3 linked regions of the Nothobranchius furzeri genome follow. Each later gene encodes a partner of the first gene's protein in a complex. Links are inferred from orthologs where the notes say so. Each region holds a gene or a part of one and is shown in the gene's direction. Other genes may lie near its edges.

What was found.
Region 2: cdk9 (region 1) and eaf1 share a complex: the UniProt entries of both Homo sapiens proteins name them as parts of the super elongation complex. The link is inferred for Nothobranchius furzeri from reciprocal best matches to the Homo sapiens genes CDK9 and EAF1.
Region 3: cdk9 (region 1) and eaf2 share a complex: the UniProt entries of both Homo sapiens proteins name them as parts of the super elongation complex. The link is inferred for Nothobranchius furzeri from reciprocal best matches to the Homo sapiens genes CDK9 and EAF2.

The regions. Positions count from the first base shown.
Region 1 is NC_091742.1:88,947,114-88,957,830, reverse strand, and holds cdk9 (cyclin-dependent kinase 9), read left to right. Parts: upstream 1-5,510; 5' UTR 5,511-5,614; coding exon 5,615-5,655; intron 5,656-5,794; coding exon 5,795-5,908; intron 5,909-6,445; coding exon 6,446-6,527; intron 6,528-8,545; coding exon 8,546-8,636; intron 8,637-8,722; coding exon 8,723-8,889; intron 8,890-8,966; coding exon 8,967-9,138; intron 9,139-9,217; coding exon 9,218-9,732; 3' UTR 9,733-10,468; downstream 10,469-10,717. UniProt on the Homo sapiens protein: Protein kinase involved in the regulation of transcription.
Region 2 is NC_091745.1:66,976,670-66,987,067, reverse strand, and holds eaf1 (ELL-associated factor 1), read left to right. Parts: upstream 1-4,816; 5' UTR 4,817-5,005; coding exon 5,006-5,108; intron 5,109-6,504; coding exon 6,505-6,599; intron 6,600-6,892; coding exon 6,893-7,029; intron 7,030-7,136; coding exon 7,137-7,309; intron 7,310-7,441; coding exon 7,442-7,663; intron 7,664-7,833; coding exon 7,834-7,883; 3' UTR 7,884-10,188; downstream 10,189-10,398. Other genes in the region: tRNA N(3)-methylcytidine methyltransferase METTL6, read right to left, coding at 2,523-2,677, 2,820-2,961, 3,156-3,326, 3,579-3,713, 3,864-4,160. UniProt on the Homo sapiens protein: Acts as a transcriptional transactivator of ELL and ELL2 elongation activities.
Region 3 is NC_091754.1:31,264,747-31,275,430, forward strand, and holds eaf2 (ELL-associated factor 2), read left to right. Parts: upstream 1-4,990; 5' UTR 4,991-5,073; coding exon 5,074-5,176; intron 5,177-5,635; coding exon 5,636-5,730; intron 5,731-6,291; coding exon 6,292-6,428; intron 6,429-6,704; coding exon 6,705-6,874; intron 6,875-6,965; coding exon 6,966-7,187; intron 7,188-8,357; coding exon 8,358-8,401; 3' UTR 8,402-9,257; downstream 9,258-10,684. UniProt on the Homo sapiens protein: Acts as a transcriptional transactivator of TCEA1 elongation activity. Acts as a transcriptional transactivator of ELL and ELL2 elongation activities. Potent inducer of apoptosis in prostatic and non-prostatic cell lines.

The DNA.
Region 1 (10,717 bases):
GGCAGCTGACCAGCGGGGCCGGTAGATTCTTGGCGGGGCCGGTAGATATTCAGAGTTACCGGCCCGGCTGGCCGGTTGGTTTTGAAGTTAATGTCCACCCCTGCATGAAGTTCTTGCATCCTGGTTGTATTTGTACTCCCGGTGACAGTACTTTCCCCTTGTTCAGGTCCACATCCTGCTCACGGGATTCTTTTTCTGACCACATATTATGGCTTCTATAAAGCATTATTTTACCAGCAGTTTTTCACGACTGAAGCAACTCTTATATGAGCAAAAGAAAAACATGAGAAATGATTAATTAATATTAATAGTAAATCGGAAATAAATGTTTATTTTCTGTTTTTACTTTTTCAAACCTTTTAGCTATTTGTGTTTTCATCACATTCAATTCAATCCAAGTTTATTTGTATAGCGCCAAATCACGACAAGAGTCGTCTCAAGGTGCTTCACATAATAGCTTGTGTTTTATTTATAATATCTTCCATCTTTATTGCCTAAGCAGAGAGGTGTGTCTAAATCGGAGCACATTGTTTATCTAAATTATTAGAACTGTGTAAACAGTCTAAACTTTGTAAAACTGTGTCGCTAATCGAGTGTTTATATTACTGACTAGGGATGTAAGAAAATATCGATATGACAATATATCATGATTTTTTTTTCAGTGATAGTACTTAGATCTTCAAAAGCTGTGTATTTAATTTTTGGAAGAATTTATATGCAAACATTTGTATGTTTTCTTTTCTTTTGGTGCAATTCAAATGCCGACCACTAGTTGGCAGCAGCGTGCAATGAGTTTTGCTTCCACCATTGAAATGTAAATCCCTCTATTATGGTTCAGATGCCTCATGTTAAACATGTTACGTATCTTTTTGGACTGTTTATTGAATTTTACTACTATAAATTCAGTCTTAAAATCTCGCTAATATTGTCTAACTGAATGTGTCGTAATATATCATGGTATAGTGTATCGTCTCCCCGAATCATGATACGTATCGTATTGCCACACATCCCTATTACTGACAGTTGTGAACGTGTGCACATTATAACTGACTTGTTGAAAGTTGCTCTATTGTTTTAGTGCCACCTATGATTGACTGATTAGTGTTTTTTGTTAGCCTCAAGGGCAACCTGCTGGCTTCATTATAACTTGTAAGTTGCTTTGGACAAAAGCGTCTGCTAAATACATAAACATAGTTTCGAAAAGCACACTTTATCAAAGAGCTCACTCACATCGACACCACGTGGGCTGTTTACAGCAGTGTTTGCAGAGCCCCGTCCCCCTAGTTCAGCAGCTGCAGGGGAATCTGATAGGAATGTTTGCTTGTAAACAAAATGCAACTCCTATTCCAGATTATTCTTCACCTCAAATAAAGTAAATACTGTGTGGTACTTATCTACGTCATGGATGACTTCCAGATAGCAGAAAATGAACCTCTAAAAGCAGATCAAGGTTTTGAGTTACGTTGAGGGGACAGCAGATTTATACTGCTATACCAGCTGTAGACTGACTACATTGTGTCAAAGTGTCATATCTTCAATGTTGTCCCATGAAAAGGTTTAGTTAAATATTTACAAAAATTCAAAGGGTGTACTCACTTTTGTGACATACTGTATATATAATATATATATATATAAATATTATATATATATATATATATAAATATATATATATATATATATATAATATATATATATATAATATATATATATTATATATTATATATATATATATATATATAATATATATATATAATATATATAATATATATATATATATATAATATATATATAAATATATATTATATATATATATATATTATATATAAATAACATCTTACAAGGTAAACTGGTTCCATTGTCCATTTGTGATGTTTACTGTATATCCCTTGACCTCAAATTGCAAAAAAAAAAACTCAACATACAAATTACATTAGCAATCTTGTTATTCATTCATCAATTATATTTGGATTCTTCACTCTATTAACTTTGCTATGTATTTGGCCACCTATCACAACCTGGGAAATATGCAGTCCAAAAAATATCTTGTATTACATTTAATTCCTCTGTTGAAGGCATGCTGGTGTAGAGAATTGGAGGGTTTAATTATGACCAATAAGATGTGGTGATTCTATATAAATTTGGAATATCAACCTGATTGATCTTTGAATGTTTAACCAGAAGAATTTAGGATTCTTTGCTTATTCCGGGACCATAAACACACTTCGTATTAATTCAGAAAGAGTCAAGTACATAATTAAAATAAACTTTATTTTCTAGACTAATTATAATACATGACAAGCAATGAATAATGAAATGAGATGGAATGTGATGTATATCAGAACCTTTGTACCTGGAACAACTTGTGAGGTCTGGGTTTAAAAGAATTTTGGTCTGCTATAAACTAGAGAGTTGATTATTAATAAAACAACATCAGACACAATCTGTTGTGTCTACGAACCCTGATGGAGACCCCCGTTCAGATCTGGAATGTCAGGAAGTCTGGTGGACCTCAAGGCACCGAAGTTCGTAGAATAACCGCAGAACGACCAGATCAGTCTTGAGTTGTCTCCAGGTCACAACAGACATGAAGGTTGGTTGCGTCTAAGACGGATGGACTCTTAAGGAGTCGTGCGGCTGTGTCAGCTTTGCAGCGTGCAAACAGGTTTTGACTGGATGTTCAGTTCAGTTCTTTTTTTTTTCAAACATTTCACACGTATCATTACAAAATATAATTTCATTATTTGTTTGAAAAGGAGTAGGAAGAAGTATTATTTGTCCCTACCCCCAAGTTTTACCTCTTATTCATTTAATTTTCTTTCAGTCTTAAATTAAACAAACAACATATGAAAAAAATATATTAAAAAAATAAACAAAACAACATATGGTAAACAGAGAATGTGTAAGTTTGCAGATTCACCAGTTATGGAGAAAAAAAGAAAAACCAAACAAACCAAAAAACACCGAAAAAGAAGCACAACAGTATAATGAACTTATATAGATTATATAAGTATCCTGGATATTTATACATGATATAAGCTTCATATGCTAATTTGCTTGATCATTCTCAGGATCCAACAAAGCTGATAGCAAACAGCGTTATATGCTAGTACGTAGATTATCCATGCTACACCTGTGTTAGCTGGATAGAAAATAGTCTCCTACACCTATCTCCTGTGTTAGCTTCTGATAGAAAATAGACAATGAAACGCTCCTGGGTGGATACATCATCTGTCTGTCTCTGCTTTCCATGGAGGATGTAAAATATATTTGTAAATTTGAATTCATGATAACTAGGTTTCTGCTGTAAGGAGTAGGCAGGTGCCTGGTGTATTGCAAAATTCAGAAGCCGACATGCAGCGTTATGTTAAATGCACTGGGTTTTACCCTATTACATTTACATTTCATGGTTAAACAGTACATGTTAAAATCTAAGCTCAGCTCGGCAGTGACCTAAAATACATAAATATAATTTTACTTACTGAAAAAAATGAAGTGGAGACTCCTTGGACGCTCTATTAGTGCAATTAATGCCACAGCAAGTCATTTTGTCCAACAATTGCACAAAAAATATCCAAAACAGAAAAAACAAACAGAGACTCAAGATGCCGGAACAGTTTCCAGGCCAGACCGAGGCTCTACTGAGGCCTTTCCATGGAGCTAGCTCTGTGGTCACGTGGGTCTGATGCTCATTAATTATACAGAATTTTAGGCTTTTAACACACTTAAACAGAAGAGTGAGAAAAAAATTCACCCCCCTCAGAGTTGTCATGAGTGTAAACTAGATCATTTAAACCAAAAACATGTTTTGGTACCAGGCTGTAAACATGTTTATTTCTGCTATGAAATTGGTATTTTTAACATGGGAGTCAATGAGGATTTGCTCGCTTCTGACACCAGCCCCTAGTGGATGACGGTGGAACTGCAATTTTTGGTACTTCCGGTAGTCTGGGGATCAAATCCCACCCGGGCCCTCGTTTCTCCACCTTGCCACATTTAGAAAACTAGAAGTAAATACAAATAAAGACACTGGATATACGCTTTACGTTAGCATCCACCATCAGCGTCTCCTGGCTAGGACCTTCTGTCACATGACTGCAACTCTACTCGGCTTTCACACATACGTTTTGGAAAGACATCAGCAGTTTTGTTAATAAATTCTTGTTCGTTAACACCTAAATGTCGTCGTCGTCGTCTTCCTCCGCTTATCCGGGTCCGGGTCGCGGGGGCAGCATCCCAACTAGGGAGCTCCAGGCCGTCCTCTCCCCGGCCTTGTCCACCAGCTCCTCCGGCAGGACCCCAAGGCGTTCCCAGACCAGATTGGAGATGTAACCTCTCCAACGTGTCCTGGGTCGACCCGGGGACCTTCTGCCGGCAGGACATGCCCGAAACACCTCCCCGGGGAGGCGTCCAGGAGGCATCCTGACCAGATGCCCAAACCACCTCAACTGACTCCTTTCGATCCGGAGGAGCAGCGGTTCTACTCCGAGTCCCTCCCGAATGTCCGAGCTCCTCACCCTATCTCTAAGGCTGAGCCCGGCCACCCTACGGAGGAAACTCATTTCGGCCGCTTGTATCCGCGATCTCGTTCTTTTGGTCATTACCCAAAGCTCATGACCATAGGTGAGGATTGGGACGTAGATCGACCGGTAAATCGAGAGCCTGGCTTTCTGGCTCAGCTCCCTCTTCCCCACGACAGATCGGCTCAGCGTCCGCATCACTGCAGACGCCAAACCAATCCGCCTGTCGATCTCCCGATCCCTCCTACCCTCACTCGTGAACAAGACCCCCGAGATACTTAAACTCCTCCACTTGAGGTAGGACCTCTCCCCCGACCCGGAGTTGGCAAGCCACCCTTTCCCGGTCGAGAACCATGGTCTCAGATTTGGAGAATCAACCTAAATGTTTTCTTTATAATTCTAATTTGTTAATAAAACACCATATTATCTTTGTTTTGTAAAAAATGTGAAACTGCATAAAACCAACATCAGACTGACAAAAAATAGAACAGTTCTTACATGTGAAGCCATATCTGTTTGTATTAATGGGGACTTCGTCTGTATATTTCCTTAGTTGTTATCTAAATACATTCTTTGACTCAAAATATTTCTTGGTGTCTTTCAGTAAACTTCTTATATTTTATTTTGCCCTATTTCATCAACATCAAGAACTTTTGAGGGTCACCGTTTATCATTTGCTTATATTTTACATTTCCTTTAGAAATTCAAACATATTTTCTCCAAAAAGTGTTGATTTTTGGACTACAGGACTACAACCGCTAAGACTACGACCGCAAATTTGTTCTGACCAATTAAAATCAAACGTGATAACGTAACTTCCGTAAGCTTCATGTTCAGCCAATCAACTACTTTGACGTCATCGGCAGTCGAAGGACCCCGAGCCGGTTCTGCACCCGAGCAGATCCTGTACCGACACCGGGGCCTGTTTATTCGGGTGGAAAAAGTTGATTTGGGGGTGAGTTTTGGGTTTTGAACGTGTCCTTGGGGGACTTGTAGTTACATCTGCTGTCCAGTTGGTGGCAGAATATCCTCTGTGGTTTGTTTCCAACCCTCCATTAAACAGAAGAAGAAGAAGAAAGGCGAACGTCAACGCAGTCATGCAGCGGGAGAAAGCTAGCAGCGCTGGCGCGGCTGAAAAGTAAGATTTCCAACTACGAATTCGCTCATTTGTTATATATGTTTTATATTTAAGTTTTTGGGTATGTCTGTGTGGTGTGTCTTGGTTTTTCTGTCTATAAGTTTCCTGATATTCAGTCTAACCTCTTTGTCCCCACCAGGCCGGACCGCGAGGCCGCCATAATGTCCAAATATTACGACGGAGTGGAGTTTCCTTTCTGCGACGAGTTCTCCAAGTACGAGAAACTGGCCAAGATAGGACAGGGAACCTTCGGGTGAGACAGACGTGTTTGAGACGTTTCATTGTGCGGTAAAGTGAACGGGTCTGTGTTTGTGCTAGCGGTGCTAGCTGATGTAGCATCGGCCATGTTCTGGCTGTGTTGTGCACACAGAGGAGGGCTAGCTCTGTTTCAGGGTCTTTAGTTGCAGCAGGGACGGAAACTCAGTAAAGATCCAAAGAAAAACCATGATGGACCGTCAGGAAGACCTAATTCGGGGTGCCAACTGGCACTGGCGGGCCGGTATAAAGCATGTTTTAGCGGTTTCTCTGCTCCAACACGCTTTAGTGGTTAAATCACTGTACAGCAGCTCATCAGGCTCTGCAGAAGCCTGTTAATCACCCGCTGATTAAAATCAGGTGTGGTTAAAACTAAAACATGGGTACCCCTGCCTTAAGGGGTTACAGGTAACTGGATCAAGACTGTTACTGATCCTGATTTCTAATGTTTACTCTGAAATTAGGGTTTGCGCTTGTCAATAACATTTAAGTCCTTGTTCTAAAACAGGATAAACGTGTGTTTGTGTCTTTTCAGGGAGGTGTTCAAAGCCAAGCACCGGCAGACGCAGAAGAAGGTTGCTCTGAAGAAAGTCCTGATGGAAAATGAAAAGGAAGGGGTGAGAGACGAGAACCTGGTAGCTCATTTAGAGATGTTGAAAGACTTTACGTCAGTTATGATCTGAAGTGTGAAGCTGGCAATCATATGGGTCTGAACAGCTGGATGTTCCTGGGCCTCAGAGGCTCGAACTAGAGCTGATTTCTTCATCACCACCGGCTCTCACAGCATCCGCGTCCAAACCCGCCTCTCCATGTTAGCTACCTCAGTTGAACTCTCCATCTTCTAGCAGGTTAATGTGGTGCCCACAGTTTTGTCCTCAGTCGCTCGCCTTGCTGAGATTAGCATTGGGACCCGTGGGATACCAGTCCCATTGCAGGGCTCTAATTGGATCCCCACTCGAGTGCGCTAAAGCTTAGAACAAGTGAACAGGGTTTAACGTCCACCACAGTGGACCCACGTGGTCGGTATTGGTTGTGTTGTGTCTGGGCAGTACCTGATACTGGTACGGTCATGGGTGCATCCCTGATCCACGTCCCAGAGTGGCCCCTGCTCTCCTGCAGCCTGAAGAGAGCCTGAAACAAGACAGATCTGAGTTTCTGTTGCTGCTTGTTGTGGTTAAAATCACAGCTGAGATCAAATCAAAGATACTTTATTAATCCCAGAGGGAAATTAGAGTTTCAGTACACACAATTCAGAGATCAGACACACATGGGCAAGACACATGACAAGAATTGGTGACTGTGGTCATTCGCAACCCTGAGTCGCGCTACCTTAATAGAGATAAGAGGGTTACATGAGGATTGGTTCAGGTGGAGGGAAAAAAGGCACTTCAGAGCTACCCTCCACAGGGAGGGCAGCTTTGCTCTGCAAAAAAACACCTCAGACATATAAGCATGAACATCAACAGTCCACAACATGAGACTCCCAATAGGAAGGCGGGGTGGGGCTGGGATCCTTCTTCCCCCAGCGAGAGCAGCCATCAGATGGGCCATTCCCATCTGTACCGGGTCAGCCTGGGCCAGGTAGCCCCAGTCGGCCCCAGCCTGGCCCGGTTGATTCCACACACCCTTTCCTTAAGCCCATGTGGGCTGATTCTACCCACCAATCAGAGGCTTGCTCTAATGGAAGGTGTGAATTTGCTGTCAGCAGTGGGTGTGTTGGCCCTGGTCGGCCTGAAGCAGACCCCCTCGAGAAGAGGGCTGAGAATGAGCCTTGGTTGGCCCGGAAAAATACCAGGCCACCCAGATATGTAAACAACCTACGCTACCCGGCCCGGGCCGACCCGGTACAGATGGGAATGGCCCATAAGGCGCTCATCTACTGTACAGTCACAGGTGGGAGGGAGATCTTGGGAGGCGTGAAGAGCACATTGACTCCTCCAGCTGATGACCTCGCCAGGCTGAAGTCCACCAATTGGGGGGGGGGGGGGGGGGGGTTCACAGCATCTAAAGTTAAAGTCCCATTAGTTGTCACACACACAGGTGTGTGTGCGAAATTTATTCTCCGCATTTGACCCATCCCCTGCGGGAGCGGTGAGCTGCAGACAAGCCGCGCTCTGGAACTATTTGGTGGTTTAACCCCCCAATCCAACCCCTATGCTGAGTGTCAAGCAGGGAGGCATTGGGTCCCATTTTTTCAAAGTCTTTGGTATGACCCGTCCAGGAATCGAACCCCTGACCTCCCAATCATTTTGACTCTGGTGAAGCTGAAGAACACGTTAGAACTTCTCACTGGTTTGAAGGTGGTGGGGTGAATGCTGGAGAGCTCTTATCTGAGTTCAGGATAGAAATATGTGGTGCAGACATGACAGGAGTCTTTCACTGAGGCTCCTTCATTCAGTCTGGAGAACTTCAACAGCTGGGTAGATGTATTGATCACCACTGATGATCAGCTGTGTGAAGGTGGAGAACCATTTTCATGCACAGATGGAGACATGAGAGGGACGACACCGCTGTCTTAGATTACAGCTCACTTTGGTTAAAGTAATATGAACATAAACAAATGACCCGAGTCGTCTCATTAATATCACCGCGTGGACCGCATCTCCAGCATCGCTCAGTCTTCGTTTCGTTTCAGTTCCCCATCACAGCTCTGAGGGAGATCAAGATCCTGCAGCTGCTGAAACACGAGAACGTGGTGAACCTGATTGAGATCTGCAGAACCAAAGGTTAGTGGCTTCAGGCCGGATCTTCAGCTGCAGGAACCATCTGCTGCTGGAGCTGAAGGTGACACCCAGTGTTTTTGTTGTTGCAGCGACCCAGTTCAACCGGTACAAAGGCAGCATCTACCTGGTGTTCGACTTCTGCGAGCACGACCTGGCCGGGCTGCTGAGCAACGCTAATGTGAAATTCACGCTGGCAGAGATCAAGAAGGTGATGCAGATGCTGCTGAACGGGCTGTACTACATCCACAGGAACAAGGTGAGACCGATCAGAAGCAGAACATTAAAGACCCGGTCTCAAGTGGGCCCGGTCCTAAATCGTGTGTTCTGGTTCAGATTCTGCACCGAGACATGAAGGCCGCCAACGTGCTCATCACCAGAGACGGCGTCCTGAAGCTGGCGGACTTTGGCTTGGCTCGGGCCTTCAGCCTGGCTAAGAACAGTCAGGGGAACCGCTACACCAACCGGGTCGTCACGCTCTGGTACCGACCTCCGGAGCTGCTGCTGGGTATGAGCCTCTCTGGACTTCTGAAGGAACGTTCTGTAACAAAGAACCCTCTAACAGAACCTGGCTCTGTGTCCTTCAGGTGAGCGGGACTACGGACCCCCCATAGACCTGTGGGGAGCGGGTTGCATCATGGCGGAGATGTGGACCAGGAGTCCCATCATGCAGGGGAACACCGAGCAGCACCAGCTGACTCTCATCAGCCAGCTGTGCGGCTCCATCACAGCTGAGGTCTGGCCCACTGTGGACAAGAAGTATGAGCTGTACCAGAAGATGGAGCTGCCCAAAGGCCAGAAGAGGAAGGTGAAGGACCGCCTGAAGGCCTACGTTAAAGACGCGTGTGCTCTGGACCTCATCGACAAACTCCTGGTTCTGGACCCATCGCAGCGTATCGACAGCGACGACGCGCTCAACCATGACTTCTTCTGGTGTGACCCGATGCCATCGGACCTGAAGAACATGCTGTCCACTCACAACACCTCCATGTTTGAGTATCTGGCTCCGCCCAGACGGAGAGGCCATATGCCCCAGCAGCAGCCCAACCAGAACCGGAACCCGGCCACCACCAGCCAGACTGAGTTCGACCGAGTGTTCTAGTGCGGTACCGGCAAATGGGCCAACAGAACTTTTGTTTCCCCGGCGGGGAGAACATTCCCGTTTCCTGCTTTAGGCGTCCCGCTGGGCTCGCTGCTCGGTCTCGTTTGAGTGATGACCGTTCTGGTTCTACAGGAACAGCTTACTCTGACTGCACGTGGTTCTGACCCAAACTTTAGTTTTAAGTTTTTTTTGTGTTTGAATCAAAAACACAAATAAAAACCTTTTTTCTTCTTTGAATGAATCACGTGTTCCAGGACTAAATGGAGCCGGGACCTGCAGCAGGTTGGTGTCTTCGTCTCCATGGCAACAGATGTTCTAGTACCTTGAGTGGAGCAGCACTTCTCTATTGATGAGATAAAACGGACTGGTCTGCTGGTTCCTCAGACTGCAGCGGACTCGTCTGACCACCAGGTGTCAGCACCTGCCCTGAACATGGCGTCAGGATCACACACCCCGAGTCATTAACCTTTTTTACTTGAAATCAGGCAACATTTTAGTTGTCTGGTAGAAATAGTCTAATTATATAAATATGAGAGATCTGTTCGACATCTAAACTTTGCTTTTACGCATTTTCTTTTTTGCTTTTGTTTTACTTGCATTTTACATTTTTAAAATCTGTTAAGTGTTTCTGTTTGAATTTCGTGTATTTTATGTTTATTCACATTTTTATTGTAGAGCCTGTGAAACTGATTTCCCCTGAAACATTCTGATAATAAAGGAGACACTTCGGTTATAATTGTTCTATGGTCAAAATAAAATCGAGTCTTCCGACTCCTTTAAAGCAGCAGTGGGGGCGTTGGACCTCAAGTGGAAGGTCATTCCACAGCTTAGGGGCCAAAACCGAGAAGGCCCCGCCTCTTCTGGTCAAGCATTTTACCGACTAGGAGCTACTAGTAAGTCTTGCTGTGGAGACCTAAGTGCACACGGTGAGTTGTACCGACTGGGCATCGATTGGAATCGGTTCCAACTGCTAGTTTTTCATTTC
Region 2 (10,398 bases), on another chromosome or scaffold:
ATGGCACAAGATGCATGAACTCGATGATAAAAGCATTGAGCTGAAGCACCCTTGGAAGTACCTTACTACGGTCAGTGAGACGATCATTGAAAACACCGTCAGAAAAAGACATGTCGTGACGGAGATCACCAAAGCGGAAGAGGCAGACGACGGCCGCTATCAGTGTAAAGCTGAGTGTGAATCTGGAGCACAAGCAATGGGACATTTCATCACAATCAAGGTCCAAGGTATCAAGACTGAATAAACATTTTTCTGTGTCTTTTGGGAATATAAATCCCATCTGAAGAGCTGTTTCGTTTTGTTTTTAGACGCATGGACATTTCGCTCTCTTTCTTCACACTAATGCCTCTTTGGTTTTCTTCTCTTGCAGGTCGACAGCGTCTCTGAGTCACTTATTGGCATGAGGTTTCAATAATATTGGGACAAACAGGAAGCCGTTTGACACATTCATCCTTTCTCTTAAGTCACTCAACTGATTTCTTTTGTAAATTGTAAATGTCTTATTCTTTGTGTTTAAAATCTAATGTGATGCTTTCATTTTCGTGCCAGTGGGAATTTACAGTTTGAACAAGATAATTATGGTTTTACATTCTACTGCACCTTTAAAGTAAATCTCTTCAAACTTGCTCATGTGTGGGGTTATCAGGTTTTACATTCTGCTACTCCAGCAGGTTCAAACAGATCAGTCCGTCTGTCTTAGTGATGTACAGATCACCTTACGCTACTTTGTGTCAGAGAAAGATCAGCTTGGGCTAGTAGGTGCTGCTGATAATAAGCAAATACTTTTGCAACCATTTGAACTTGATCACAGAAGCGTTTTCACAAAAGCAATTAAAGTTTTCTAAACTCTGAGATACTTTTAGGGTGATTATTGATTAAAAATAGGGTTTGGGTGACTTAGTGTTTGTCTGGATTTGCATCTGGCCTTGAGTCGAGCATCAACTGATAGCAGTCTTCTGACTTCATGACAAATGAAAATCTGAAGTTAAATCTGGCAACAGTAACACAATTTTAGGAACAAAATTCATGTTTGTGTGGACTTAAGTAGGTTCATCAAATATTTCCATCACTAAAGCTTTGTGGTGCTAACCTTCTCTTGCTAAAGGAAACAGGAAGCCACATTTAGAGCATGCTGAAAAGTAGCAAAGACCCTTCAGTTTCACCACAGTGGACTCGTGCAGGGACAAAATATTAATGTGATGCAATTAACATTTATATAACAGACCCTTATCGTGAGTTTTACTGTTTCCAACACAAAAATCCAGTATTATTTGATTCTGAAAGAACTTAAGTTTCTAACTCTTCCAACTTTATAAATCCAGTTTCCTCTTCTCCTTCTATGGTTCATCCTTTTCCTTCTTATTCATATTTTCAAGAAGCCAAAAAAAAACACATTATTTTAAAGCTTCATTAAAATAAGGAGACTACAATATTCTGTTATGAATAGCTAAGCACAACTGTGTAGTACCCGCTTTCAGCCACTTGGGGGCAGCAACTCCCCATCTTCCCTTCTAGAGTGCTTTTTCTAGTTTTGGCCACAAGAGGGCGCAAACCCCCCATTCTTTCAAGGCAACAAACCAGAGCTGGACTTGGCACCTTGACTCAACACAACCAGCATGTTAAACAATGGAACATAAAACAGTTTCAGGGTTTTTTAGCTAAATAATAAAAGGGAAAGACCCTCAGAACCATTTCCCTGTTGCCAACACCATAGCATTTCACTTTGAAAGTGTGTGGGGAAAGGGTTTCTGAAGTGCTGTAAACATGCATGCATCAGCATCCGTATGAACTGCAAAACACCTGTTACAGTGAACAACATGCAGACACGCCCACCACGCTTAGACTCCAGTGTCAGGAATGTGCAGATGAGAAGAGCGTTCACTCTTGTCTTTTCCTGGAGCCACCATAAATGGATATTTCAGGAAAGATCCCTGGTCTCATTGCGCTCCAACCACATGTGATTAAGGCTTATATTGACATCTGCAAGCAGCAATTTGAGCTCCTGAAATGTGATTTTATCCACTTTTTTTAATCTTTTAAAAACCTTACACGTCTGTTTTTACCTGTGGTGCCACTTCCACTTTTGGCAGAGAAATTGGTTTTAACAGACTTTTATCCTTGAACATTTGGCTCTCCTCTTCCTTCATGATGCACAACACTGGTTTTAAACAATTTAAACATCTTCTGGGGCAGGAGGCACCTGTTTGGGATCTACTCAACAGACAGGGCACCCGTGCCCTGCCATGTCCACAACCCCCACTGTCCACCACGTGCCCCTGAAAAATAAATGCTTCCCCTCAACTCAACATCAGAGCTGAATAAGCTCAGAATTTATTTACAGAGTAAATGTTACACAGCTTATAAATATTTTGTAAGAAAAGTGAACACTTTCTTTTAAAATGTCCCCAAACCCCTTGTGGTCCTATGATGGCTTCCCATCATACAGAACTTGTACATTTTTCCATCCAGTCCAAACCTGACATGTCAGTCTTCCCTTAGAGATTTGTGAGTTAACAGTGACATCAGGAGCTCTGTGGATGTGCAGGTCTGATGAATTTGCTCTGAAGGAAAACCCTCGGAACACACAGTCCTTCCTTCTTGTTTACCGTCTCTCTCAGAACGTACTCGTTGGACACAAGGTCAAAGCCCGCCTCCAGAAACAGCTTAGCCAGAAACTCTGAAAAGTTGAAAACAGCAAGATTCCAGGAGGAGGAAAAAAAAAACAAATTCATATATAATCAATTCAATAATTTTAAATGTGCAACATGTCCCCTCTTTCACTTGAGACTGAGTTGACTGAACAGAAATACTCTGCTGACCTTTGGAGAAGAAGTAGGACCTTGTTCCATCCTGGCGAACGTAGAAGTTCTCCCCAAGCTTGTTTCCAGATTTAAACCGGAGCATGGCGTGGTCGTACATGCCATAGTCCCTGAACAAGACAACACCACCGGGCTTCAGCACCTTAAAGCCACATGTAGATTGTTACATCGCTGAATGCCAGTTTTGTGCAGGTTTGCATAAAAAGTGATTTGTACTCAAAAAAATAGACTGCAGTAACCATGTTTGACCACAGGATGTCACTCTTACTTACTGCACCTTTAAGTTCCACCTGAATTGAGTGAATTGTGCGTGGTGGTCTCAGCTCTTAACTCTACCTTGCTGATGTTCTCCAAAACCAGCTTCATCTTGTCGGGATGGATGGCCGACAGGACAAAGATGAGCGTGACAACATCGACGCTGCCTTCTGGGACATTTTCCATCAGATCATCTCTTGTTAAGTCACACTGGAAAGCACAACAGCGCTCAGTGCAGTAAAGAGGGTTTTCCTGATTAATAAAAACAAATAACAAAACAAATGTTTACATCTTTAAATGCTGTTTTTTTCCCATTTGGTTACTCTTAGCCCTTGAAATCTCCTGTTAAGGCAGCTGAACCGGGTTTTACCACAAATGGCATCAAAGGCAGCTACACTGCAGCAAAGCTTTTTTTCATTTTTATTTTTAACTTCTAGAGCACTAAGATTAACTAGACGTGCTAGAAAAGGTGGATTTCCACAAGTACACAGTTAAGCACCTTACTTTGACAAAATCAACTGCCCGAGGAGAAAAGTCACAGGCATAAACAAAGATGTTGAGGTCATCCTCCAGAAGGGGGAAGATGCAGTTCCCAACCCCGCATCCAGCTTCCAGCAGAATCAGTTTCTGGGACTCGAACTGCAAAGAGACAGACCACGTGACCCAAAATCATCACTTTGTTGTCCGTTTGGCCTCAAATCACTGTGAAACGTTGATATTCTTTACATAAACTAAGTTCATTCTACACTACATATGCTAAGTTTAATCAAACACCCCTTATCCGCTCACCTCCCGACAGGCTTTAAGCTCCTCAAACTCTCTGGTGGTCCAGTGTCTGTCTTTAAAGAAATTCGTGGTGTTTCTTTTATAAAACAAGTCCCAATTTTTCTGCGCTTCTTTCTCCAGCTTAATTTGTTTGAAATCAGATACCAGCGTCCGCTCACTGCTCAGTCTGTCCCGTTCCTCTGGAGTTAAATCTCTGACAGAGCAAAGTTTTGTTTCTCGTCCCCGTGACTCCACCTTTGTTTCGGGTTCCACTTCTTCAATGTCTTCAACTTTGCACTTTTCATTTGTCATTAACGCCATTGTTGTGTTAGATTGCCGTTCTCTCTGATAGTTTGTTTATAAAATAAAGCTTTATATAAGCTTCAATAGGAAGAAAAAGGAGGTAATATTTTTCCACACTTGGCATCCATCTTGTGCAGCATCGATGACACCGGTACCGGTTGGTGTTATTAAAAAAAATACCACGGTGGTCAACGCTTTAAAACACAAAATTTATACAAAATATAATATAAATTTTGACTGTACAATTTTATTGTTTAAATAAGTTACAAATATTTTTAACAGCTCTGAAATCACTTACACCCAGTCTGGTTTTCCGTCGGTGGTATTTGATGCTCGGACCAAAGGCAGTGTTACGCCGAGATATGTTTCCTCACAACAACAGTTTCTCCTCCTATTTTAAGCGAGTTTCCCCTTTAACTTTGTTGTTTAAACCAATTATCTGATAATAAAATAACTAAACTGAAAACTTTTGATAGTTTAATTAAAACATTAGTCATCACAGCATGGCAAAAACGTACGGAAAATATTACTTTTTAAAATTATTTAATCTGTGTTCGGTAAAAATAAATTCATACTTAAGTCAAATACTAATAACTGAATAATTGTTCAATGAGGTAAACATATTTATTTTCCAAGAATTCAGAACGGAAAACCCGCACACTGATATACGAGTAAACCGTTTTTCACTTAACACCGAAAAAGCTGCAGTCGCGTGACGTAAGTGTTGTTTTGCTAAAGGTTAGCATCTGCAAGCTAACTTTATCTTTATTTAGATTATCATCTCCGGTAGTTGCTGGATATAGCTCTGTTTTTCGGTTGTAACACAAATGTAAAATTTAATCCGGTTTCAACCAGACGAAGTCATGAACGGAAACACAAATCCACTGCTGGACAAAGAGGAACATGTTCTGAAGCTCGGAGAGAGCTTCGAGAAAAGGCCAAAATCATCTTTTCACACCATCAGATGTGAGTGTGAAAGAGACCACTTTGTGTTTCTAAAAGCTTTTAGTAAAGTCAGCTGTTGGTTGGAAGTAATTAGCTCACAGTGATACAGCTATTACATTCATTACGGTTACAGAAGTACACAATAAATGAGAAAATTTGATTTACATGTATGAACTGCAAAACACCGAACTGAAAGAAATTGCTGAACAGAAATGTGTTTATTATGTAAAAAATAGAAAGTTAAATTGTGGGGTTTAATGTTTTTTTTTTAAGTCCTTGGTTATTATCAATTATTAACTGATCATCATTCAACTTTTACTTAATTTTGCTTTGTTTATTTAAACATTTCCTAAGCCAAGTAGACAGTGTGACCAATAATTAATAAATGCACATTTCACCCAAATACCAGCAGCACATTATTTAAATATTTCCCGGTTTGTAAATTAATGTCATATTAGCAGAGTCAAGCAAAGTTATAATTTAAAACATATAAGGGTGATTAGCTAAGTTTGAATCTCTTTCATTTTTAGAAACTAAATAATTAATAATAATAAGGGATGCACCAATATGAATTTTTTGGGCCGGTACCGAGATTAGTATCACTGTTATGGCCGATAACCAATATTGGCCAATACCGTTTTATGCATCTGAAATCAGCAGATTTTGAATAGACTGAAATTATGCAAGTTGAATTTTGGAATGTTTTGCTTTATTTCTATGAAGTTGAATTTGCATTATGTTATACACACACACACACACACACACACACACACACACACACGTACGCTTCTGGTAAATGGTAAATGGCCTGTATTTGATATAGCGCCGTCTAGAGTCCTGGAACCCCCCAAGGTGCTTTACAACACAACCAGTCATTCACCCATTCACACACACATTCACACACTGGTGGGGATGAGCTACGATGTAGCCACAGCTGCTCTGGGGCGCACTGACAGAGGCGAGGCTGCTGAGCACTGGCGCCACCGGTCCTTCCGACCACCACCAGCAGATAACATGGGTCTTGCCCAAGGACACAACGACAGCAACAGACTGAGCGGGGCTCGAACCTGCAACCTTCCGATTACAGGGCGAGCACTTAACTCCTGTGCCACCGTCGCCAGATGATTACCATCACGGTCACATGTCTCAACAATTACACATCATAACTGCCCCTTACCCTCTGAAACATACACAAACGGAAATAAGATGGAAAAAATATCAGTTCTTAAAATCGGCCCAGTTTTAATTGTCGGACTGGTATGTTAAAAATGTACTAACATCGGCCAATACTCGATATTGATGCAGATATATCATACATCTCTAATAATTATATAATTTACTTCTTTTTCTATTTATTTAAGTTTTTCTAAGCAGTGAAAGGACTTGATTCATGCCTAATTTATTTATTTATTCTTAGATGACTTCAAACCAGCATCGATCGACACGAGCTGTGAGGGAGAGCTACAAGTTGGGAAAGGAGATGAAGTTACCATAACACTACCTCATATTCCAGTAAGGTTGCAGAGACGTAAACAACAAAGCACCATTCTCACATTTGTGTCAGCTGGCTCACAGTTATGGTTATTCAACATTATTAATGTTATTAAGTGTCAATCAAGTGCTTTCCCTCTGCTAACAAAGTCAGATAGCAGCTTAGGTTGAGTAATCATAGTTGATTATGTTTAAATGTAGTTTCAGTTTCATCTAGTTACATCAGGAACCAATAAAATAAACAAGTAAAAGCCCCTTTGTATGATTTTATTAAGAAAAATCAAAGGATCAAGTAAAGTTACATACTCTTCCAGGGCTCCACGCCTCCAATGACGGTATTTAAAGGAAACAAGCGGTTGTATCAGAAGGATTGTGTGCTCATCATTAACCACGACACGGGGGAATTTGTCCTGGAGAAGCTCAGCAGCAGCATCCAGGTCAAGAAAACAAGGTGGGAGAATTGTATATTACTTTTTCACACTTGATAAATCATTCATTCTAAAGTGGGGAGCAGAAAGGAGCAACAGTTGGTGAGTCTGCCGTGTTTATTTTTTATAGGGCGGAGGGCAGCAGTAAGATCCAGGCCCGAATCGAGCAGCAGTCCGTCCGTTCCTCCCAGACAAGCTCTCAGTTCCGAGCCCCGACCAAACCAGGGGCCGGGAACAAAACCTCACCCTCCCACACGAAGGACAACCCGTCCCCAGAGCCTCAGCTGGATGACATCAAACGAGGTGAGAAGGTTCTGTCACAAGATGGAACTGGTGTGTCTCAAACTGATTCTAGCTAAAATATCAGCTGGATATTGTAACTGGTGTGAAATGAACCCAGAACCAATAATGTCTCTGACCTGCTGCCGCTGGCAGAGCTGCGGGCGGAGGTGGAGGTGATCGAGCAGATGAGCAGCAGCGGCAGCAGCTCGTCCGATTCAGCCAGCGGCTCGGGGAGCGGCGACGACAGCAGCAGTAGCGATGGTGAGCACGACGCCCCCCCGCAACCGCTCAGCCAGACCTCCCCCAGCTGCACCCCCATCACCAACGGCGGAGGAGACCGGCAGCAGGGCAACAACCAGCTCATGAACACACTCCGTGAGTAGCTCTGCGTAAACGCTGATTCTCCTGTTTCTGTTTTTAAATCTCTGCATTTATCAGTTAGTGCCTTCACATTTTTATGTGTTATTACAGGATTTCCTCAGATGATACATTCCAGACGAGTTAGTTTACTCACTTAGATTATTACTTTTCTTTTTCCTCCACAGGAAGCGATCTTCAGCTCAGCGAGTCGGGCAGCGATAGTGATGACGACTGAAGTCGCTCTCCTCCTCCACACTCCTCCTCCTCCTCGCTTCCTGGTTCTTGCGTTCACTTGCTGTGATTTTTGACCTCAGCTTTAAGTTTCTGGTTTGACTGTATTTTTTTAACATTTTATTTTATTATAGCCACCCAGAAACCTTAGGATAGCATTTTATTAGATGTGCATTTTGTTTTGTATAGGAAAAAACAGAGTTTTACTTTAGGATGTAGAAGATTATAAAGAGTGTTCAGACATATTTTAAGTACTTATAAAAAACACTAGTTTTATCTGCATAATTGATCTATTTTTCTCCTTTTTTATGATGAGGCTAGTATGAAAAAGCTTTTTCCCTGTAGTGGAAGTCTTCTCTCCATGCGTATTAGTGTTTTATTAGTTGGATGAAAAAACAGCAAAAAAACAGAAAAATCAGCAAAACTCTGCAACAAGTAACAATTTTAAAAAATGCACTTTTTTCCTCCCAAGTCTTAACAGAGAAGGTGCCGATTATTGTGGATGGATTATTTCATTCATTCCCAAAACATTTCCTTATAACTAATTTGATAATGTATATTTTTATTAGTCTTTGGGAATGTCCGACGTTGCTTTAGGTTCTGAAACAACACGTCAAAATTCAACTCATGCTGGTTAAAATTTTGTTGAAATGGAATAATTAAACAATAAATGTCTTGCAGTTATTTTTCCGGCCACAAGGGGGCAGCAAAAGACCCCGAACCACAAATGTGTTTTTACTTTTTCTGGTGACCTTCTAATTTCAGCTTTAATTTGGTTTCTAAAAACATTTTAGGAAGATAGTTCTTATTTGATTGAAACATCAAAAAATACAAATAAACCCTAAAATAATGCACAATTTTTTAGAGATGAATTCAAAACTACGGGTTCAGAAAAGCTAAAATGTTTTGTTGAATTCTTTTAATTAACCACATCAGAGGTCAGATAACAAGCAGTTACCATGGAGACAAGAAATGATGACAAATCAGGGTTTCTGATGAGAAAGAAAACAAATGTAGTTAGTTTCAGACAAGTTTTTTTTCCCTTTTTAACAAATATTCCATCATTTCTGATTCTGAATGAAACCACTCCGTATTACATTTTAATGCCTTGCAGCGTTTCAGTGAAGACATGAGGGTGAATGTATTAGTTCAGAAATAAGCCAAAGAGTTGATCTCATGTAAAAGATATGCAGGAGTTCATATGTAATGGTGTTGAATGGTTGTGTTTCTGCGTTTGTTTGTTTTTTTTTTGTTTTGTTTTTTGTTAACCGCACCAGTGACATCAGCGCCTTTTCCTTTAATCTGCAGATTTTATGATATAAGTAAACATAATAATAACAATAACAATAATAATACTGACCGTTTGAGGTTAAAACAAAATTAAATTTGTTAAAAACATTAAAAAACTAGTTGTTGCTAAATGCTGACCACTGGAACTTGGTGGCAGATTTAGATCAAATATAACTGGATGCAGCTGCTGGTTTTTAGTGCCATTTGATCTGGTTTTGTAGAATTCTGCCTTCCTACGCAAATGGTTTTAATGACTTTGGCTCATTTAAAAAAAAAGCGAGCTGCAGAAATCATCACTCAAGAGGTTTTTTTCTAAGCAGATGTTTGGATTTGAACAAAGTCCTTCCCTTCCACTGATGGTGATGTTCTGGCTGAGCTGTGTTGAGTGTTAATGTCTGTGAAAATGGTGTTAAATGATGTTGTTGGTATAAATATTAACACATTAAGAATGGCGGCCCCACGCTTTCTTTTCTGTATTCTTATTAATCACATAAATCCCAGTTTTGTTGTGAATGGTGCTGATGCTACAGGACGGTTACTGCTAGAGAAGACAATAGATCATTTAAATTTTTCTTTTATTCATTTTGAAAAGTTGTGATTCATAAATCTGCCCATTGTTGATGTGTTAAACACAATAGTGTCAAAGAATAGAAATATAACACTTTCTTTAGGGTGAGAAACTTTATTTTTTTGGACATAAAAATCAGTTATTTTGATTTGTTCCTCTCATTTGTCCTTGTGGTGACTCGCTAAGCAATCAAAGCAAAAACTGCACCAACTACTGGAAATTTAGTCTAAACGAGTACTTTTACTGTTCTAAAATCTCAGAATTGTGAACTGGACTTTAAACATCTTCAGCCTGTTTTTACTTCTATTATAAGTGGAAGAATGAACATCCAGACGGTGCTCTGCAACACCATTTTGTTGTGTTTTTTTTTTTTTACTTCAAAGCTTGTTTTTGTGACACCTATTCTGTACAAAGCTGAAGTTATTAAAATCTTGCAGAAGTCACAAAAAAAGTTTTAAACTTTTTTTAGTTTTTTTTTCTGCTTTTCAAATAAGGTGTGGCTCTAGAATGATAGTAATTTTTTGCATTATTGATTAGAAAACTGATAATGTATTTTGGAGACTAGGTGGTTTTGCTTGCTTTTAGCACCCCCTAGTGTCCGTTTAGTAGAACCAAAATAGAAACTTACCTCCTCGGCAGGCGTTCGTCTTTTTTAACATCT
Region 3 (10,684 bases), on another chromosome or scaffold:
TGTTTGGTAAAGAGCCACAAGGCATGTTTAAGCTTTAAGTAAAGGTAATAAACCTTTAAGTTTAATATAAAATTATACATTTCTTTATAAAATTAAATAAATGTAACAAATTAATTACATGTATTTGTATTTATTTGTATGGCAAAGGAATATACTAAAGATTTTTCTTGTTTATTTCTCATTTCTATATCATTTTTATATTTTTGTGTAAAATATTAAATAATTTGAGATGATAAAGTTCTGGTTCTAGTTCTGGCCTCCCTGCACTGGCTTCCGGTCTGTTTTCGTTCACACTTCAAACTCCTCGTCTTTGTTTATAATTTCATCCAGGGTGGTGGTCCGCCCTATCTAGCCACACTCCTGAACAAACATTACCCATCACGCGCTCTGAGCTCCTCTGACCAAGGCCTGCTCGCTGTCCCTCGTTCTAGGTGTTGTACTCGTGGGGACCGGGCTTTCTCAGTCCTACCGTCACTCTGGAACCAGTTGCCACCCTCAGTTAGGCTGTCCCCATCTCTGCCAGTCTTTAAGAGTCGCCTAAAAACCCACCTCCTCCGCTTGGCGTTTCCTGAATGTGTTTGAATTTGGCCCTCTTTTATGTTGATTTAATTTCCCTGTTTTCATTGGTTCACTCTATCCCTTGTTTTACCCATTAGTATTCTACTAGAATGTTTTACCTTTTGTTGTAATTTGTAATTTAATTGCTTTTATTTTCGATTTATTCACCATATTTATTTAACTTTCTCTTGTACCATGTTCAGCGCCTTGAGCTTCCCGATAGGGCTGCGGAAGGCGCTACATAAATAAAGCTATGATTGATTGATTGATTGATTGATTGATGATTATTGATTGATTGATTGATTGATTGATTGATTGATTGATTGATTGATTGATTGATGATTGATTGATTGGTTGGTTGATTGATTGATTGATTGATTGATTGATTGATTGATTGATTGATTGATTGATTGATTGATTGATTGATTGATTGATTGATTGATTGATTGATTGATTGATCGATCGATTTCTATCTTGTAATTTCCATTTTGTATTTTGTAATTTGTATTTTGTAATTTGAATTTCTTTTATTGTTGATTTATTCAATATATTTACATACATCTGTACAATGTTCAGCGCTTTGGGCTTCCTGACAGGGTTGCGGAAGGCGCTTTATAAATAAAGCTTTGATTGAAATAAAGCTTTGATTGATTGATTGATTGATTGATTGATTGATTGATTGATTGATTGATTGATTGATTGATTGATTGATTGATTGATTGATTGATTGATTGATTGACTGATAAACAAATAACAGAATGACAAAGTTAACATAAAAGCTTAAGTAGTTATAATTATTTGCTAATGCTAAAAGCCACAAAGTGGCCCCAGAGCTACAGTTTGCAGACCCATGCCATGCCACAGCTCGTTATTTTTCACACCTTAACTTTGGCAAGTGAATTTAGCACAGGACAAGACCAGACTTGTTCCTGATTGGCTCAGATGAAAAAGTCCATTCACCCCCCTCTATGACCCCTCCAGACTCACATCAGGATGTCAGCTCTGGGCCTCCTCTCACAGCTGCTGGAGCCTCTTCTCGTCACCGTGACCAAATATACTGAAAAGGCTGATTCTTTATTTAAACATTTGTACATGCACTTGTTGCAGTTTGATCTCCATATAAAATATTCATATGAAAGTTCATCTTAGAGATCATAAAACAAGTAAGTCTCAATGGAAATTTGGTATTAAAAGTTTTGCACTAGTTCTAATAGAAACATCTCCATCTCCAGGATTATTGCATTCATTTAGATTGTATTTATGTTCTTCAGGACTCGTGAGCTACAGTATGAATGCAGCCAACCCCAGAGCAGATGCAACAAAAACATGAAAATAAACCTCATAACTCTTAAGGTTTACTGGAATTTTTTTTTAATGAAGCTGAGTTTTCGTGACTGCACTTTCAAAGTATCTGGCGCATTATGGGGCTAAAGGAGTGGCGTGACATTTTGGAGCAACTTTTAAACACTTACTTAGAATATTGTGACTAAATCAGGGGTGTCAAACTCATTTTAGCTCAGGGGCCACATTGAGGGAAATCTAGACCAAAGTTGGCCGGACCGGTAAATTAAAAAAAACTTCAGATTGTTTTCTTTGTTTTAATACAATCAATATAAAACAAAGCTGGAGCCTGAGGACAGGGTATCCAAAATAGTACGACACCTGAAGTGTACTTGAAAATTTGAAAAAATAAAAATAAAAATCAATCAATTAAAAAAACATTCCTTAGTGATTCAAAGAGCTTACAGATCACATGGCTAGATCAGTTTCATGCAGCACTTAAAATATATTTGACTCATTTTACTTTACATCTTTTAGCTTTCACCAGCACATCAACATCAGAAGTCACATCCTGAGTGGCAGCCGACTTCAGGATGTGATTCAAGTTCTTGTGTGAGCCTTGAGCGCAGCTTTGTTTTATTTATACTCATTACAGAGAAAACTTGCTCACAAAGATAAGTTTATTTTCACTCTACATTGTAAAGTATGAAAATAAAGTTTACACAACCATCTCGCGGGCCGGATCCGGCCCGCGGGCCGTGTATTTGACACCCCTGGACTAAATACTTGGAAATAAGGGGAACAAGCGAATCTAGGTTTTGTATATCATAGAAACATTAAATTTTTGCTTCCCAACATACTCTGGTTAAGGACTCAACAAACAAGATAAGGTATCTGCAGGTCTAAATACAAAATAATGTGCTGGCAGGTGGGTTTGTTGTCCCTGGACACATCTGGCTGGTGCATGTTGATATTCGTGGTACATGTTGTAGTAACTGGAACGCACTGACAAATAGTATGTAATAAATTTGCATCAGATGGTTTGATGGGAATTTAAATTATCCAAGTTAAATAAACAAAAATGAGACTATTCCAGAGAGTAATTGTGAAAATGGCTTCCATTATTACTGATTTCATCCAGGTTGGTAGAGCCTGCTCAGGCTCCGCCTCTCCCAGCAGACAGGTGCTATCCTCAGATTCAATAGGAATCCTCTGCTGTGACTGGAGGATTTAGTTGCTCAAAAACCGTAAACCTCACCTCCTGCAGTCCAGGGGCAACCCCTAAAGTAACTGATATCACCAAAGGACAGTCAGTGTTTACCTCCATCCATGGAAACAGACCCATGCTGTTGTCTTTTCACACGGGATTCAGGATGAAACAGGAATCCGGTCTTTTTATAATTTGTCTTGGTCCATTTTCAAAGCTCGTCAAATTTAAAGGGTTCCCATCACAAAAGACTGTCCCTCCTCGGTAACCGGATAACAATAAATATGAGCCATGACGATTGCCCAAACAATCCTGTTTTCCATTATATGAGGGCTGCATTCTGCATCTTTAGGCAGAGCTGACAATTAGTGAGTCGACATGGACGTGGACATATGCACTATTTCCTCATGTGGACCATGACACGAGACAACTGTTGTGATCAGCTGGTGATCACACACTTGTGTTAAAGCCTGACTCTCCACTTGTTAGATGCTGACCTGCTAACTAAGGCAAGAGAACATATGGTCTCAGTAAATTTCAGGCAGAGTGAAGGATTTAAGGCTTAGGATTCATTAGCAGTTTAAAGAAAGGAAAAGAGATTATTTTAACAGCCACAAGGTTCATGGAGCTCAGAGCTTCTCAGAGCCAGAGAGGCTCAAATCTGCGATCAGTAAGTGTTTCTGCTGCAGCTCATTACAATCAGAGCTGCAGGATGTCCACATGCTGTGTCTGAGGCGCTCTGCCCAGTGAGGCTGGTAATTTGGTTCAGATAGAGGAGCCGATGTTTGTTAAGGACACTAATATTACAACAGAACAGGATCAGCAATTATTATGAGAGTCAACCCCATTCAAGATGGCCCCTCAAAGCTAACAGCTATAACCCAAAATCATATGATCTCAGCACTGAGGGCATTTGCCCAAAGAACAAAGGTCTTTATTTTTATAATTTACAAGGAATAGTTCCCCATAGTTTTTTGAGGGGAAAGTTCAAATCTCTTCTTCAGATGCAGATGGCATTTTTTTATTTCCTGCATTGTTGATCAATAATATTAATGTCAGAACTTTGGTGCCTAATAGTAGCTGGAGTGTAGTCTCAGTCATGCAGGACGTGGTCATAATGGAGGATGTGATGATTATTTGATACATGTCAATTCTTCTTCTAATGGCTTTTTAATTCAGATTTTGGATTATAATAACTTTTCAGGTGAGTTGATGTTTATTTTATTTCATGTAACACTGAACTTTGTACCAGTTTATTAAAATACAGCTTTTTGTTTAATTACATTTATGTTTTTTCATCCACAATATCCTCAGTGAACAATATTGTGCTTGTTCTGCAATATAATGTTCACTTTTTCCACTTTTGCTATTTCTCACTCATAATATTACAAGAGCAAAGACTTGCAACCCTGATAAAACTTGTCTAACAACACAACTATAGATAAAAAACTAGCTAAACACCTGAAATAAGGACCAAAAAAAGCTTCACTTGAAATTGCTATTGTTGTGTCAAATTACATAGTGTATTCATTTTTTATATAATTCATTTTGGAGCACATCTCCAAACCTTAAACTTGTTTTTTTTTTAATGATTATTATTTTTTACTTCAGGTGAGGTCATGGCCCTAACTTTGGGAAACACATAAAACATGAGCGTCATTCCAAAATAAACAAAAATAAACAAACCAAAAACTATGTGTTGTCTCTTATTTACCTCAAATGATAAATAAAACAGAAATTTTTTTTCAGGAAATTATGAATTAAAAGTTTTAATAGCTGTGGGTATTTACATAAGTTATTGTCCACATTTTAAAAATTGTCACCTTTTCACTGTAGCTGCCCAATCAATACAAGTGCTTAACTGACAGGTCTTCATCCAACCAGAAAAGCGCAAAAATCTTGTCACCCAATAATAATTAGGAGACTTTACTAATGGGCGGGACTTAAACGTTTCTTCTGCCAGCATTACCTGCGTTTGGCATCAAAAACACGGAGGAAACTTTTGTATACGGTTCGTGTTAGTCAGAATGAATGGGACAACTTTCTCCAACTTTGACAACCAGGAACATGTCCTGAAATTGGGAGAGACGTTCGAGAAACACCCCAAAAGCTCTTACCACACAGTGCGATGTAAGTGTTTTTTTATTCGTCGGTGACGTCTGGCTTTTCACTGTAGCTAACAGACGCATGCTAGTTAGCATTAAAGCTAAACATGCTGAGATTACCGTTTGCCATCCGGCATACAGTTCTATCGCCGCGCTCGATTATATTTCTCAGTGTGCTCCTTCAGTGTTCTGCTAAATTGTCGGCTTTTATTGTGGAACTGTCAGTTTACGTGAATAATAAAAGCCATTGTTGCCATTAACCGTGAAAGTGCCAGCTAACGTGTTAGCGCAGCAGCGTTAGGTAGGAATTTAGCACCACCTTGTGGCTGGAAGAATGAACTGTATCGCCAAAACATGTATTGTCTAGTAAAATGTAAGTAAGTAAGTAAAAGTTTATTTATATAGCGCCTTTCACAGATATAAATCACAAAGCGCTGTGTTTCATGTTTCACTCGAGACCTTTTTCTACCTTTATCTGTGACAGATGACTTCAAACCAGCATCGATTGATACAGCATGTGAAGGAGAACTTGAAGTTGGCAAAGGAGACCAAGTCAAAATTACTTTACCAAATTTAGAGGTTAGTAAAATAAAACAAAAACCTTAGAATTTCTGTCTCTTTATTCAAGACAGAACAATTACAATGATTAATATATTTTACCGTTTTCCTTCAAAATACATTTTTATTTATTTCAAATTGTTTTTATTACACTCTCAATTAAGGGCTGGGCGATATGGCTTAAAATCAAAATCACGATATATTAAGGATTTCACCTCGATAACGATAAATGGACGATAACTACATGTATGCACAGAAACAAAAGTTGTCCACTAGATGGGGCTGTCACATGTATTGAGTCATATTTTTACATGACTCAAGGTGGTGCAGCTTAAAGGGACATGAACGTCGCCAACCCACACACATTTTTTCATTTTTTTAAATTAGCAAATTTATTGACATGGGAAAAATTCTCGTTAACAGTCAGAAATTTTGATAACGATAACTTTTCGATTTATTGCCCAGCCCTACTTACAATAAATTACAACTATCTTTAGCACCTTTTCCTTCCAAGAGTTAAACTTTAATATTTTTAATAAAAACAGACACGTATAATTTAATATTTTGGTTTTCCTTTTTAAGGGTTCAAGTGCTCCTGTTACAGTCTTCAGTGGATCTAAGAGGCCTTACATGAAAGAATGCATCCTCATTGTGAACCACGATACAGGAGAGTACAGACTAGAAAAACTCAATAGCAACATAGCCGTGAAGAAGACCAGGTGAGATAAAAAGGCTTCCTTATTTTTTAAAGCATTCACTATTATGATTAGTGATTTAATGCAAACCAATGTGTTGATTTTTTTTTTTTAGAAAAGCTTTTCTTTTAGCTGTTGAAATTAGATTTGATCCCTTCTAAATTCTTAACCAAGAAAGATTTGCACAGAATTGGCAAAACACTTAATTGTTTTAAGTGTATTTAACCCAAAGTAATGAGTAGAATTTTTAATTAGAAATGTTCTTTATATATATTTCCCCTCTTTTATGTGACATTCCAGGGCTGAGGGCAGCAGTAAAATCCACTCTCGTCTAGAGCAGCAAACCAGTCGCCTGAGTCAGCAAATGAAGAGCAACAGCAGCGGCACGAGCAAAACCTCATCCAGCTCCAAGAGCTCTCCCCCCAAAGAGAAAGCCTCTTCACCTTCACCGATGGATGACATAGAGAGAGGTGACACAGCTTTGTTTGTGTTCATTAAGGCTGTACGTCTTGGTTGTGGTTGTGCTCCATCAATATGCTTATTTCTGTGTGTCTGGAGCAGAGTTGATGGCAGAGGCGCAGGTCATGGATCAGCTCAGCAGTGGCGACAGCTCATCAGAGTCCAACAGCTCGTCCTCCAGCAGTGACGACAGTTCAAGCAGCAGCGATTCAGAAGAGGAGCAGACTCCTGCAGCGCCCTCGGCCAATCAGAGCATGCCTATCATCAACACCAGCTCCACCAGTCGCCTCCAAGAGAGCGGGGGAGGACTCATGAACACACTCAGTGAGTAACCTCGGTGACCCTGCAGCTTTTGCCCACATATGTGACTGAACCAGTTCTTTTTTTAAACACTAAGTTGTTGTGGTTGTGCATTATTCTTGCAGACACACATGGATTTACTAAGTGAAGGGATTACAATGATCTGCCGTATCTCCTGTGTTTTAATCACGGCCTTTTTTCAAACTTTAATGTATGCTAAATACATTTTACAGTTGAGTGTCTTATAGAAAGAACTGTAGATGTTTTACTGTTGTCAGGAGGTGAAGATTTCAGAAAGGTTGCACACGTCAGGGAAATTTCCCAACACCTGCTGGAATTTCAGAGTCTGAGGCTGAACCACAACAAAACCCTGCTGCTGTTATTATAGCTGGAGGTTAAACTGCCATTAGGGCTGTCGCAACAGCTGTTATGACCCTTCATCTCTTGACTAATTTAATTATCAGTCAACTCTTCAGGATTTTCTGTCAAAATAGAAAAATAGTTATTTTTGTTTTTCTTTTATTTTGAAGTCATTTGTTCACCACAAACAGGAAATGTCCTTGTTGGGGTTAGGGCTCTCCTGTTGGAAGATAAAATAGGACTCATGAGTATATTGTAATATATAAATTCTATATTTTATATGTGGTTTTGATTGTAAATGAACATAGTTGTTAACATCTATACAATTAAATGTGCTTAAACTCAGAGGTTTATTACACACACTTTAATAACGGACTACGGTGTGTTAGGGTTATGGTTGGTTTGGTACTCTGTGATTTATTGACAGCTGTGTCTGGCCCAGATTGTTTCTTCGTCTTCAGACTTTGTGGGGAAGATTCTTAACTTTTTTATTCTGTCATGAAACCTTTTCTGCCACAATGTGGACAACTCGGATACTCTCTTCATGGCAGTTAACCAACGCCTTCTGTATATTTTATCAGCTGGAAACCTGTAACTTTGACATTACTGTCCTTTCGTCTGTTTGTGCAGCCCGCGGCGCTGCATGTGTTAACCAAGCTGACAGATTTTAGTTAACCAATTATTGACAACTGACAGATAACACTGTTGAACCTTCTTCTGACCCTCCAGTCTGAGGCTGGGAGGCTCGTACTCTTGATGTCACGTGTCAAGGGATTTATAGCTACCACCATGACAGTGTGCAGTCTTAACACTTCTTCAAATATCTCCTTGCAGAGAATGACCTCCAGCTGAGTGAATCAGGAAGTGAAAGTGACTGAAGAATCAGGATGAAGGCCAATGTGAGGAAGACTGGATGAAGGAGCTTGTCACAAACCTGTTCACCAGGATTGGTCTTACTCATCCACTCATCTGAGTTTTGTCTTTCCACCAACAAATCTCTGTAGTTTTCTGGCTCTGCTCATGCTGTAGTGATTCCTGCCTCTGGAGTTAGAAATGCATCTCCTCTAATGGCGGTGCTTTAAACCCACCAGAGGCAGGACAGCTGTCATTAGAGTCTAGACTCTTATGCTTCTGCTTTTCACGTTTACATTATTGAGCTTTCATTTTGAAGTTTCTGCTAGCCTTTTTTGTTTTATTTTGTAGCACTAAGCAGCAGAAATTAAAAAAATATATATAATTTCACAAAATATCCCTTTAAACCATCAAACTTGACTTGTGAAGAATGCATATTTATTAATTTATCTCTTGGTCTTTACCATTTCCAAACAATACTTCATTTTTTTTTTGTGAGAGTCGGTAAAATATTTTGAACTTAAGTCTACTTGCCACATATCAGAGAACATCGTCTTAAAAATCAAATATGGTGTTTGCTACAGTACTAAATGTTCATCAGAAAGCCAAAGCAAGATGGTGAAATGATTAATAAAAGCAGTCGACTGTAGCGGGAGAGACAGCTTTTATTCTGCGAACCTGCACTCATGGACTCTAATAGGGTCTTGCTTTGTAGCTTTAAACCTGTTATACTTGAACTTAATTATGTATCCTTCTACACACATTTGGCCAGTAACTAACTGGTTCTGTGTTTAGCTCCATATGGAAGCAACTGGAAGCCAGATGTGTTCTTACTGCATCAGAGTGAGTCTTAAAGAACTGGAAATGCCTCTTTAGTTTGTCTCAGGAAGTCAACTGCAGGCCTTCCTCTCTTGGTGTCTTTTCCATAAGTGTCTTTTGTCCTCTGACCTGTCTCATCAAACGGGAAGCTGCGGTTTCTGTCCCAGCAGTGCTCTGACACCGACTGTATAAACCCAGAGACGGGGGTCCAAAAAGCCTTAATTAAAACACCTGTTGGTCTTAAGAAAATGAACACTTATTTGTTAAATATTTGAGAAGATTTTTGTCAAATATTAAAGATTTTAATTGTTTCTTGAACCTACCCGTTTGTGTCATAAATGTTCTGATGCAACTCATGTTGTGTAGCACAAATACAAGTTGCTCATTTATCTCACTATTTGCATCGCCAAGCACTCGACGCTGACATAAACATGCTGCAGCCTGGAGTAATTAGCCCTCATCATCTGATCATGCTGGACAAACTGAAGGCAGACTGGGTGAGCTCTCTCTTTATATATATATCTATATATATATCTATATATATATATATATATAATATATATATATATATATAATGTATATCGATGGGTGAGCTGCAGGTCTTACTGGATAAAGAACAAAGTCACTTCCAAAATTCAAATCAACGTTGCATCAATCAAGGACTAATATTTTGGCGTCTTAATCAGTCCCTTTTTCTCTGTAGGAATAATCCTTTGTAACTATAAAAAAATAAACATGACCTCGCACACACTGTTCCTGTCCACCTGGCCTGAGGGACGGATTCTGGCAACAATCAGACTCACTAGAATGCATGATATTTTAGTCTTTGTGAGTCAGTTCAGCAGACGTGTAATATGGTTTCTTTTTCTGCCAACTCCTAGGAGAAGGTGGTGTATTCGAAACGGCTCGGCTCTTTGGGAATCAGCCACAGCAGATATTCACACAAACATAGGTGGCGCTCCCCCTATCATATTTAAAAGTGGGCAGACTGCACAGGCACCGTTAGGGAGGAGCAGATGTTGAGACCAATGTTTTGAATTGTTGTGTAGGGTGTGCTGTCACCAGGTAAATGTCAGCTGTAATGCTCCTTACTTCATTATGATGTAACGAGCCCTTTGCAGTATGCTGCTGAACAGGTGTCTGCAGGTCAAAACATTTTATTTTCAACCACATTCAAGTTTGAATAAAGTCAGCTCTAGATACCAGACAGGTCGATGGCTTAACAGGGTTTGGTTGGAGGCTGGAATCACAAACCTTTCAGGACATATGAAACAAAAACATGCGGATGACGTCATGGCTGGTTAAAAAGCTTAACTTTCTGCTGCAGCGAACTGTTCCTGAAAAAAGGTTGAGATGCTAGTTAGTTTCTTTATTCGTGTTTCCCAAAGACAATTGCCTTCATTCTTCCACACCATCATTAAGATAATAAAGTTTAAGTCCCATTAGTCATCATCACTCACTGGTGAAATTACATCTGTGCATTTGAGCCC